Oryctolagus cuniculus: one gene and its partner. The protein of the gene in region 2 purifies or fractionates together with the protein of the main gene of each other region. This does not show direct contact. Links are inferred from orthologs where the notes say so. Each region holds a gene or a part of one and is shown on either strand. Other genes may lie near its edges.

Region 1 (5,332 bases), about 92 Mb from region 2:
ACCAGCGGATGGAAGATTTTCTCTCTTTCTCCCCCTCTTCCTCTGTAACTCTGCCTTAAGTAAATAAATGTTTTTTTTTTTTTAAGCCAACAATGTATAGGAAACGGATAACTGAATGGATGTTGCTAATATTGCACTAAATATAATTATTTTTTCTAGTATCCACCTTGTTCCACTGGACGATGAGGTCTTCAAAGACAGGGATTAAAGCATACTTTTCCTAGTTACTCCAGACACTCATTCACTGCCATGAGCCAGTATAACACAGTGGCTGGAGTCCAGGTTCAAATTTCAGCTCCATGAACCATTAACTGTATGACAGTTAGCCATGTATTTCTGTGTTTCACTTTCTTCATCTGTAAACAGAGGCAAGGATAATAATAATAATGCCTCTCATCATTTTGTTATGGAGGATTAAATTCATTTATTACTATATTACTGTTCATTTTTAGAAGAGCTATATCAGAACTGTTTAACAAGATGAAGTCCAGCTGAGGACCTTCATTCCGCTTTAAGATCTCCATCTTTGGAACAGCAACTTGACAGCATATCATGGATAACGAGGCATGAGGGTGCACAAAATAATTTTATTAATATCTCACATGAGCAAAGATCACAAAATGAAAAAAATGTCAGAAAAGATGCTGACAATCTTTCATAAGTCAGCTACCAAGAGTTCAGCACCAGCAGATGGAGCCTCAAAACCACATTTCTGTTATCCTCTCTCCTGTCTCCTGCACTCTGCCCTGCAACATCATTGCATTTGAAAGACAAAGCAGGATACTATTTGAGACTCATTTTTCCTCCAGTCCAGTGGCTTGACAGCCATGGCTCAGCAGATCTGAGTCACCTCAACAAGGAACAGGCTGGTACCAGCTGTTGAGATCTGGAGGTGCTCCCTTTCTAAGAAAGCCATAACCCTGACCAGGGAGCTTCCTCTATTGCACAGACGCTTGGATGTTCCATGCCATGTTATGGGAGTAGGGTCCCTATTTACTAGGATACTAGCCATGCTTAGTGTAGTCCAGCTGCTTCCAGACCAAGAAAATTCCCTGTGGGATGACCCTTTGAAGATTATGCATACTCTGCTACCTGCTTGTTAGGAAGTTTAACCCTAATGCATCCTACTGCATATTTCCCTGTGTGTGTCATGCCTTTCTTGAACAACACAGCACTTATTATGACCCTGGAAGCATAGAAAAAAAAAAGTGCTTGTGTGCTTAAATTATACTTCATTAATAGCAAAATTAGAAAACCTAAACTCTTATCAAATGAAGCCAGATTTTAAAGTATAGCACAAGTATATACATTGTACATAAAAATCATTAGAACACAAAAGAAACTGGTGACATGGGGTGATTCCACAGAGGCAAATTGGGTAGGTAAGTCCAGGAATGAGAGGGAGCTTTCCTGTTTGACATTTTTTTAATTCAGTATATATTCATTTAAATTATCTATTTTTAAATGAAATAAAGATTTTTAATGATGGGGAAAATAATACACCCCTCACTAATCATATCATTTCATTTTAACTCTTGAAAGAGCACAAACTGGGACTGGCGCTGTGGTGCAGCGGGTTAAAGCCTTGGCCTGAGTACTGGCATCCCCTATGGGCACCAGTTCTAGTCCCAGCTGCTCCTCTTCCTATCCAACTCTGTGCTGTGGCCTGGGATAGCAGTGGAAGATGGCCCAAGTCCTTGGGCCCCTGCACCCACATGGGAGACCCGGAAGAAGCTCCTGGCTCCTGGCTTCAGATCAGCACAGCTCCAGCTGTTGTGGCCATCTGGGGAGTGAACCAGCGGATGGAAGATGTCTCTCTCTGTCTCTATCTCTCTCTGTAACTCTGTCTTTCAAATAAATAAAATAAATCTTTAAAAAAAAAAAAAAGAGCACAAACTGTCTAGTTCCTTACACTCTGGCTAATTTGTTTATTCTCTCTTGCTCCTATACCCTAACAGAGACTATGCTCCATGAAGTTGGGATTTTCTATGTGTAACTCACCACGTAGCAGTCAGCAACTAAACAGAATCTGGCACATGGCAGCCACTCAATTGTCTTCTGAATTCTGTCTGAAATCTGCCAACTTGGTTCCTAAGCCTCTCCTCCTCCAGAATTCTGAGGTGTTTTCATCGACACTCAGTGCGTCTGTCCAAAGTTCTCTCTCACACTGTAATTACCTGCTTCATGTCACGTACTTAGTAAGGGCACAGAATTGAGTGCCTGGGTTACAGCTGACAAAAAATATGTTCAGGGCCGGTGCCGCGGCTCGCTAGGCTAATCCTCCACCTGAGGCGACGGCACCCCAGGTTCTAGTCCCAGTTGGGGCGCCGGATTCTGTCCTGGTTGCTCCTCTTCCAGTCCAGCTCTCTGCTTTGGGCTGGGAAGGCAGTGGAGGATGGCCCAAGTGCTTGGCCCTGCACCCGCATTGGAGACCAGGAGAAGCACCTGGCTCCTGGCTTCAGATCAGCGCGGTGAGCCAGCCGTAGTGGCCATTTGGGGGGTGAACCAACAGAAGGAAGACCTTTCTCTCTGTCTCTCTCTCTCACTATCTAACTCTGTAAATATATATATATATATATGTTCAATAGAATAACATTCTGTATATTAATAAAAATTAAAACAAAAAACCAGCCAACACCACGGGACGCCCAGGAGTCACAGGGATTACTCAAATAAGAGCACAGGAAGACACAGCCCTGTGGGACATCAGGCCACCAGCGACGCCTTTGCTTCACTGGACTGACGCTGGTCCAGTCAGAAAAGCCCTAGAAGCGCTAGACTAAGACCACAGACCCACGTGGGCATCCGTGCCAAACACAAACATATACACCTTGGACACTGACAAAACCACCCAACGCACAGGCACCCTACTGCCCACGGGCCGCACTGCTCGGGTCCCCCCTCCTTTCCCTGGGCTGTCAGCCCCCACCGGCCAAGCGGATAGAAAAGACTGAAAGAAGGTAACAAGAGGAAGAGGAAAAGGCATTGCAGCCCAAAGTGCTCTCCAGCAAGAAGTGCCACACTCCTCCGCCTCGGCTTAAGCCAGATTTTTCCCGCGCGGGCACTGCTTCCCTCCAACCTCTTCACTTTAGCCCATGAACCCGCCGCAGAAACTCGCACACCAACTCACCTGGGCGCGGCCATATTGGAAGCAACCGCACTACATTTCCCATGAGTCGACGGGGCGACGAACGGAGCTCCCACAATTCCCTTCGGTCCCCGGAGCTCTCTGTTGACCCTTTCTTCGCCGAATGTCTTTGCTCTCCGTTACCGTGTAAATCGCTTCTTATTTGGGGGCATAGTAATGTTTTAGAATGCGGCTTATTTTTTTCAGCGCTCCCCAAATGGAAAAAGGTCAAACAAGTTTGTCTCCTTGGGTCTCACCCCGCCTTGATCTCTCAGCATATCTTTCCTCCTGTATCTTCTTGGAGGTATGGAGAGGATGCTGGGGGCTGAAAGAGGACATTGTGCGAGCTGGAAGGAAGGTGCATGCGCGTGAATGTGCCGGGGGAACGTGAGTACCCTAGAGTGTTAGGAAGATGCATGGGAGATGTTGAAGGAGGTAAAAAGAGAGGGTGCCTCCACACCGTCCATGACCTAACACTGTTCTATTTTCTAGGGCTAAGGGGGTCCCAGAAAGATTCGAGAAACAAAGTGATATAACCAGAGCTTCTATTTGATAGTGGGAGGGGAGACTAGAAGAAAAGAGCCGTTCACATGGTAAAGTGAAAAGGAAGGAGGGGCCGGCGCTGTGGCGCGGCGGCTGAACTCCCTGGCCTGAAGCGCCGGCTTCCCATATGGGAGCCGGTTCTAGTCCCAGCTGCTCCACTTTCCATCCAGCTCTCTGCTGTGGCCTGGGAAAGCAGTAGAGGATGGCCCAGGTCCTTGGGCCTCTGCACCCCGTGGGATCCCAGGTCAGACAAAGCTCCTGGATCCTGGCTTTGGATCGGCGCAGCTCCGACTGTGGTGGCCATCTGGGGAGTGAACCAGCGGGTGGAAGATCTCTCTCTCTCTAACACTTTCAAATAAATCTTAAAAAAAAAAGGAAGGAAATGTTAACTGAGACACAGAAATGGCAGATAGAAGGGGGAAAGATCTAGTAACAGACCAGAAATAAAAGACCTGGGAGATGTGTAAGGAAAAACACATTGAATGCCCCCCATTGCAGTCTTGCTTGTGCACTACTGGATGCGTTCAAAAGCATCCCAATAGTACTTCCTGCAATTATCAAAACATTTTATAATCTGAGCTGTCTGGTATGGTAGACACTTGTGTTGGATGGCTTTTGGACATTGCAAATGTGGCTAGTACAACTAAGAAACTGAATCGCAAATTTTTAAATTTTTATTTAGTTGTAATTAGCTTAAATAGCTGTATGTGGCTATTTGATACCAAACTGAACAGTGTAAAGTATCCCACTTCCCAATGGCCGAATTCCGTACTTTCACCTTAGTATCTGGCCTACTTGAAGGTACTGAAGCTTTCAAAACTTTTGAATTTCTTTTCTGAGATTTATTTGTTTATTTGAAAGCAGAGTTACAGAGAGGCAGACACAGAGAGAGAGAAAGAGGTCTTCCATCCACTGGTTCACTCCCCAAATGGCCATAATGGCTGGGGCTGGACCAGGCTAAAGCCAAGTGCCAGGAGCCAGGAGCTTCTCCTGGGTCTCCTATATGAGTTCAGGAGCCCAAGGACTTGGGCCATCTTCTACTGTTTTCTCAGGCCATAGCAGAGAGCTGCATTGGAAGTGGAGCAGCCAGGACTCAAACCAGCACCCGTATGGGATGCGGGCACTGCAAGTGGCAGCTTTATCTGCTATGCCACAGCACTGGCCCCAAAACTTTTAAATTTCTAAGCCTCTGGGAAACTGTTCTCTTTTAGTTCTCTTTACACATCTTGATCACTTGCTGTCAGAATTTGTGCTACCTTCCCTGTGTCCATAATTAAACACCAGCAATCCCTCAGTTTTGTGGTTGATTCTTTTTTTCTGCAGATTCTTTCCTGTCTGTCGCCCCAGAATTTTAAAGAGATTTATGAATCATTCCCCATTCCCATTTAACAATTTTTAAAATAATTTTTCAACTTTATTATTATTATTATTAGAGAGAGCTGGTTGACTACCCAAATTCCAACAGTGGCCTGGACTGGGCTGAACCCAGAACCAACACCTGGGAACTCAATCCAGGTCTCCCGTGTTAGTGATAGGCATCCAATGACTTGATTCATCCATCACTTGCTGCCTCAGGTCTGTATTAGTAAGAAGCTGGATTTGAAGTGTCTGAACAAGTAGGTCAAATGCTCACCCCTGGGAAGCAATTTGGTTTCATAAGAC
Region 2 (3,956 bases):
TCCAAACAGCACACCCTTCTTGCCCTTAAACAGCTCCGCCAGGTTCACTTTGTTCCCCGGCTCCCCTTCAAACACCTCCACGGCGGGCAGGGCGTCCCCCACCTAGGGAGGAGGTCGGGGTAAGTGGGGAGAAGCCGGGCGGGGCAGCCACCCAGAGCGGAGGGAGAGAGACGTTCCCAAGGAGCCGGAGGGCGGGGTGACTCCAGGACACGGTCCCGCCCAGCAGGAAAGTCCAGTCCCATCAGTTTCCAACGGTTCCTGCCTGGCCCTCACCCCCTCCCCACCTGGCTACCCCCACCCTCCAGGTCCCAAGGTGGCCCTGCTCCTTCGAAGGGCCCACGGGTGACAACGGAGAAAGGGGGAGGCTCCCCCAGTGTGGCCGTGGGTCGCAGGAAAGGGTGGGCTAAGAGCAGAGCGCTGTATTTGGGGGTGGAGAGGAGGCCCCAGCAGGCAGGGCCAGGACCCCAGCCAGGCCTCAGTGTCTTGCCCTCGGCTGCCCGCGGGCGGGAAAGCTACCGGGGGTGTGGATAAGAAAGGAAGTGTGCCTGGGAGTGTGTGCGGGCGTCCAGGGCCCAGAAGAGGTGGACAGAGGGGAGCAAGAGTCCCCCCGCGTCTCAGGGGCCCTCAGGACAGGGGCTGGGGCTGGGTCCCGAAGACGCGTGGAGGACGCCGGCAGAGGGGTGGGCATCGGCCCTGGAGGGGGCCTGGGGCACCACTGGGCTCTCGGCCAAGGCGGGGTGCGGGGGGCCCAGCACCATCGCAAAGGCGTGGGGGACACGAGGAGGGGAGGCCCTGGGGCAACGGAGATGGCTTGGGGGGGAGGCCATGGCGTCAGCTCCCCCAGAACGGCGCGGCGCCGCAGGCTCGGGGCGGTCCCAGGCGACTGGACACCAGGCCCCTGGAACCCGCGAGAGCAGCGGGCAGCCAGGGGTCGGGAGAGGGGACGAAGCGCAGGTGGCAGGGACTCCAGGGCGGCGGCGGGGAGGCGGGGAGGGGTCTCCGAGGGAACCCAAGGGAAGGAAAGGCGGCGACACCCCAGACGAGCGTGCCGGGGGCGCCCTTGGGAAGCCGGGGGCCGGGGACGGTCACCTTGATCGGAGCCATGACTACGGCAGCGCCGCTGAAACTGCGGGTTCCACAGAGCGCACGCCCCGCTCCAAGTCGCCGTCTTGCAGCCGCCGCCGCTGCACTCTCGCGGACGACCGCACCCGAGAGCACCGAGCCCACCCGGTGTCCCAGGACGCGCAGCCCGGCCAGTCCCATGCCCTCTCACGGCCGCAGCAGCCCCGCCCCTCAGCGGGGGGCGGGGGGGGGCGGGCCCGTGACCACGTGACCGCGATGGTCGGGGCACCTGCTGCGCCCCGCCCCCGGCGAGCCGCCTCCACCGCGCAGGCGTGGGCTTCCGGGACGCCAGGCTCATTTGCATTGGGGCGGGGCTTCGCTCATCGGCACTTGAGGAGGCGTGGCTTACGGGCGGGGAGACGCCGTGTGAGGAACGCGTGGAGGAGCCACACGCGTGCAGCAGCCGCACCGGCGCGCACTCGCATCCCTTGTTCGACGCGCGCCTCGCCAGCGCGTGACCCGCCCGGGTCTGCCACACACCGCCTGTTCCGGCGAACGCGGGAAGTGCCCGCACGTTCGCCATTTCCGGCCCGCCGGGGCAGCCCCGGAAGTGGCGCGAGCGGAGCGGCTGGTGTTCCGGTTCCGGCCTGGCAAGCGCGCCGGCGGCGACATGAAGCTGCTCACCCACAACCTGCTGAGCTCCCACGTGCGGGGGGTGGGGCCCCGCGGCTTCCCCCTGCGCCTGCAGGTAGGGGCAGGGGCGGCCTCCGGCCCCGGTGCGCGGCTCCCGCCCCCGCGCGACTGACGCTCTCTGCCCCGCAGGCCACCGAGGTGCGCATCAACCCTGTGGAGTTCAACCCCACCTTCGTGGCGCGGATGATCCCCAAAGTGGAGTGGGCGGCGCTCCTGGAGGCGGCCAACACCGTGAGGCCCCCGGCCGCGCCGCGCGGACCCCGGGGGTGGGGGGCCGAGGCCGGGGGCGGCGAGCGGGGGCTGACGCCGGCTTCTCGCCCGCAGCTGCACCTGGCGGAGGTGCCCAAGGAGCCGGTGGAGGGCTACGAGTGCGACGAGGCGTTTCTGCGCAAGATGCACCACGTGCTGCTGGAGGTGACAGCCCGCGCGCGCGCCCCCGCCCCGCCCCGCCCCGCGCCCTCCCGCTCAGCCGCGCCTCCCGCCCGCAGGTGGAGGTGCTGGAGGGCACGCTGCAGTGCCCGGAGTCCGGACGGCTGTTCCCCATCAGCCGCGGGATCCCCAACATGCTGCTGAGCGACGAGGAGACCGAGAGCTGACCGCCGCCCCCGCCCGCGCCGCCCCGCCCGCGCCCTCCCGCTCAGCCGCGCCTCCCGCCCGCAGGTGGAGGTGCTGGAGGGCACGCTGCAGTGCCCGGAGTCCGGACGGCTGTTCCCCATCAGCCGCGGGATCCCCAACATGCTGCTGAGCGACGAGGAGACCGAGAGCTGACCGCCGCCCCCGCCCCGCCCCGCCCGCGCGGCCCCTCCCCCAGCGACACACTGCACACGCGGTGGTTTGCGCTCCGTAGTATATATATATTTTTTCTCATTAAAGGTTCAAAACCAAAAGCGGTTTCTCTTTGCAGCAAATATACATTAAAATAGAGTCTCTGTACAGCCGCGGGCTCTGGGCCCCGGCCTGCCCCAGGTCCCTGCGCCTCCCTGGCCAAACCCAAAAATAAATATAGTGTTATTGCTCTGCAGGGCACAGAGGCGGTGCTGTCCCTGCCCCCTGAGGAGGCGCAGGAGCTGGGGGGAGGGGGGCCTGGCCACCCCAGGGGTCCAGGGGCTGGAGCCTGCTTGGAGTTATTGCTTCAAGGGGGGCACGAAGGCCCAATGCAGATGAGGAGGAGAGGAGCGAGGGGGCAGGGCCTTCGCTCTCCGCGGGCCCCTCTGCTCAGGAGAGGGTGGACTAAGCAGCAGCAGAAGCGTCACCCGCCGGGAGCCTGTGGCCTCCATGCCCTTCCCTCCCTGAGGTCAGCATCTGCCCCCCCGCGGCCCCCTATGGCTTCCGCAAGGCCCCCTCGGCTCTGGGGGCTCGTTATGGCTTGCAAGGGCAGCACTGCCCAAAGCCTGGGCGCACACGTTCCCAGCTTGCGACACCCCCTCGGAGGGGGAGGGGAGGGCGTGGGGCCTGCTCCCAGGGGCTGGTGGCATTGCCCCGGCCCTGCCAGCAGGCTGCGGCACTGCCCAGACCCCAGCTCTGCCCCTGGGGCGACCTGAGCCGGCAGGGCCCGCCAGCGCCCGCCAGCGCCCGCCGTGCCGCCCCTGGCCTCAGTCCATCATGGCCTCGAGCATCTCCAGGAACAGCTTGTGCATGGGCACCTTGCCCTCCAGCTTCACCCCGTAGAAGTGGGCCAGCACTTTGCCCGCGGTCTGGCGGAGGAGCGGGAGCGTGAGCAGCAGCCTGCCGGCCCGCCGCCGCTCGGCGCCGCCTCCCGGGCCAGCCCGGCCGGCTTCGTACTCCAGCAGGGCCTCGTGCAGGGCTTCTCGGAGCTGCTCCACGGCCTCGGCGTCCTCGATGTGGACAGAGTCTGCAAGGAGAGGGGACAGCTGAGGCCCGGGCGGGCCGAGGAGGAGCCAGACATCTCTCACGGCTGCTCCTGAGCCGGGCACCCCAGCCACCTCCTGTCTCCCCCACTGAACTCGACACACGGCTCAGAACCCTGTGTCACTGCAAGGCCTGCCTTGGCGTGTTCTGTGACTGAGCAAGTCACCATGGCTCCATAAGCCTCGGATCCCTCTGCTGCAGACTGGGACTGTGCCGCCACCCGCATACCACCGGAGGAAGGGGCTGGCGCTGTGGCACAGCGGGTAAAGCCACCGCCTGCAGCGCTGGCATCCAGTGTGGGTGCCTGTTTGAGTCCCGGCTGCTCTACTTCC

The links.
Region 1: the proteins of TRMT112 (region 2) and ALKBH8 purify together in Homo sapiens (co-immunoprecipitation; 3 studies listed by IntAct, with this or other methods). This does not show direct contact. The link is inferred for Oryctolagus cuniculus from reciprocal best matches to the Homo sapiens genes TRMT112 and ALKBH8.

The regions. Positions count from the first base shown.
Region 1 is NC_091432.1:99,375,503-99,380,834, forward strand, and holds the start of ALKBH8 (alkylated DNA repair protein alkB homolog 8), read right to left. Parts: upstream 3,268-5,332; 5' UTR 3,145-3,267; coding exon 3,131-3,144; intron 357-3,130; exon of another isoform or gene 167-356; intron 1-166.
Region 2 is NC_091432.1:7,010,369-7,014,324, forward strand, and holds TRMT112 (multifunctional methyltransferase subunit TRM112-like protein), read left to right. Parts: upstream 1-1,437; 5' UTR 1,438-1,732; coding exon 1,733-1,810; intron 1,811-1,884; coding exon 1,885-1,986; intron 1,987-2,079; coding exon 2,080-2,169; intron 2,170-2,243; coding exon 2,244-2,351; 3' UTR 2,352-2,415; coding exon of another isoform or gene 2,416-2,523; 3' UTR 2,524-2,642; downstream 2,643-3,956. Other genes in the region: PRDX5 (peroxiredoxin-5, mitochondrial), read right to left, coding at 1-102, 1,090-1,263; ESRRA (steroid hormone receptor ERR1), read right to left, coding at 3,348-3,607. UniProt on the Homo sapiens protein: Acts as an activator of both rRNA/tRNA and protein methyltransferases. Together with methyltransferase BUD23, methylates the N(7) position of a guanine in 18S rRNA.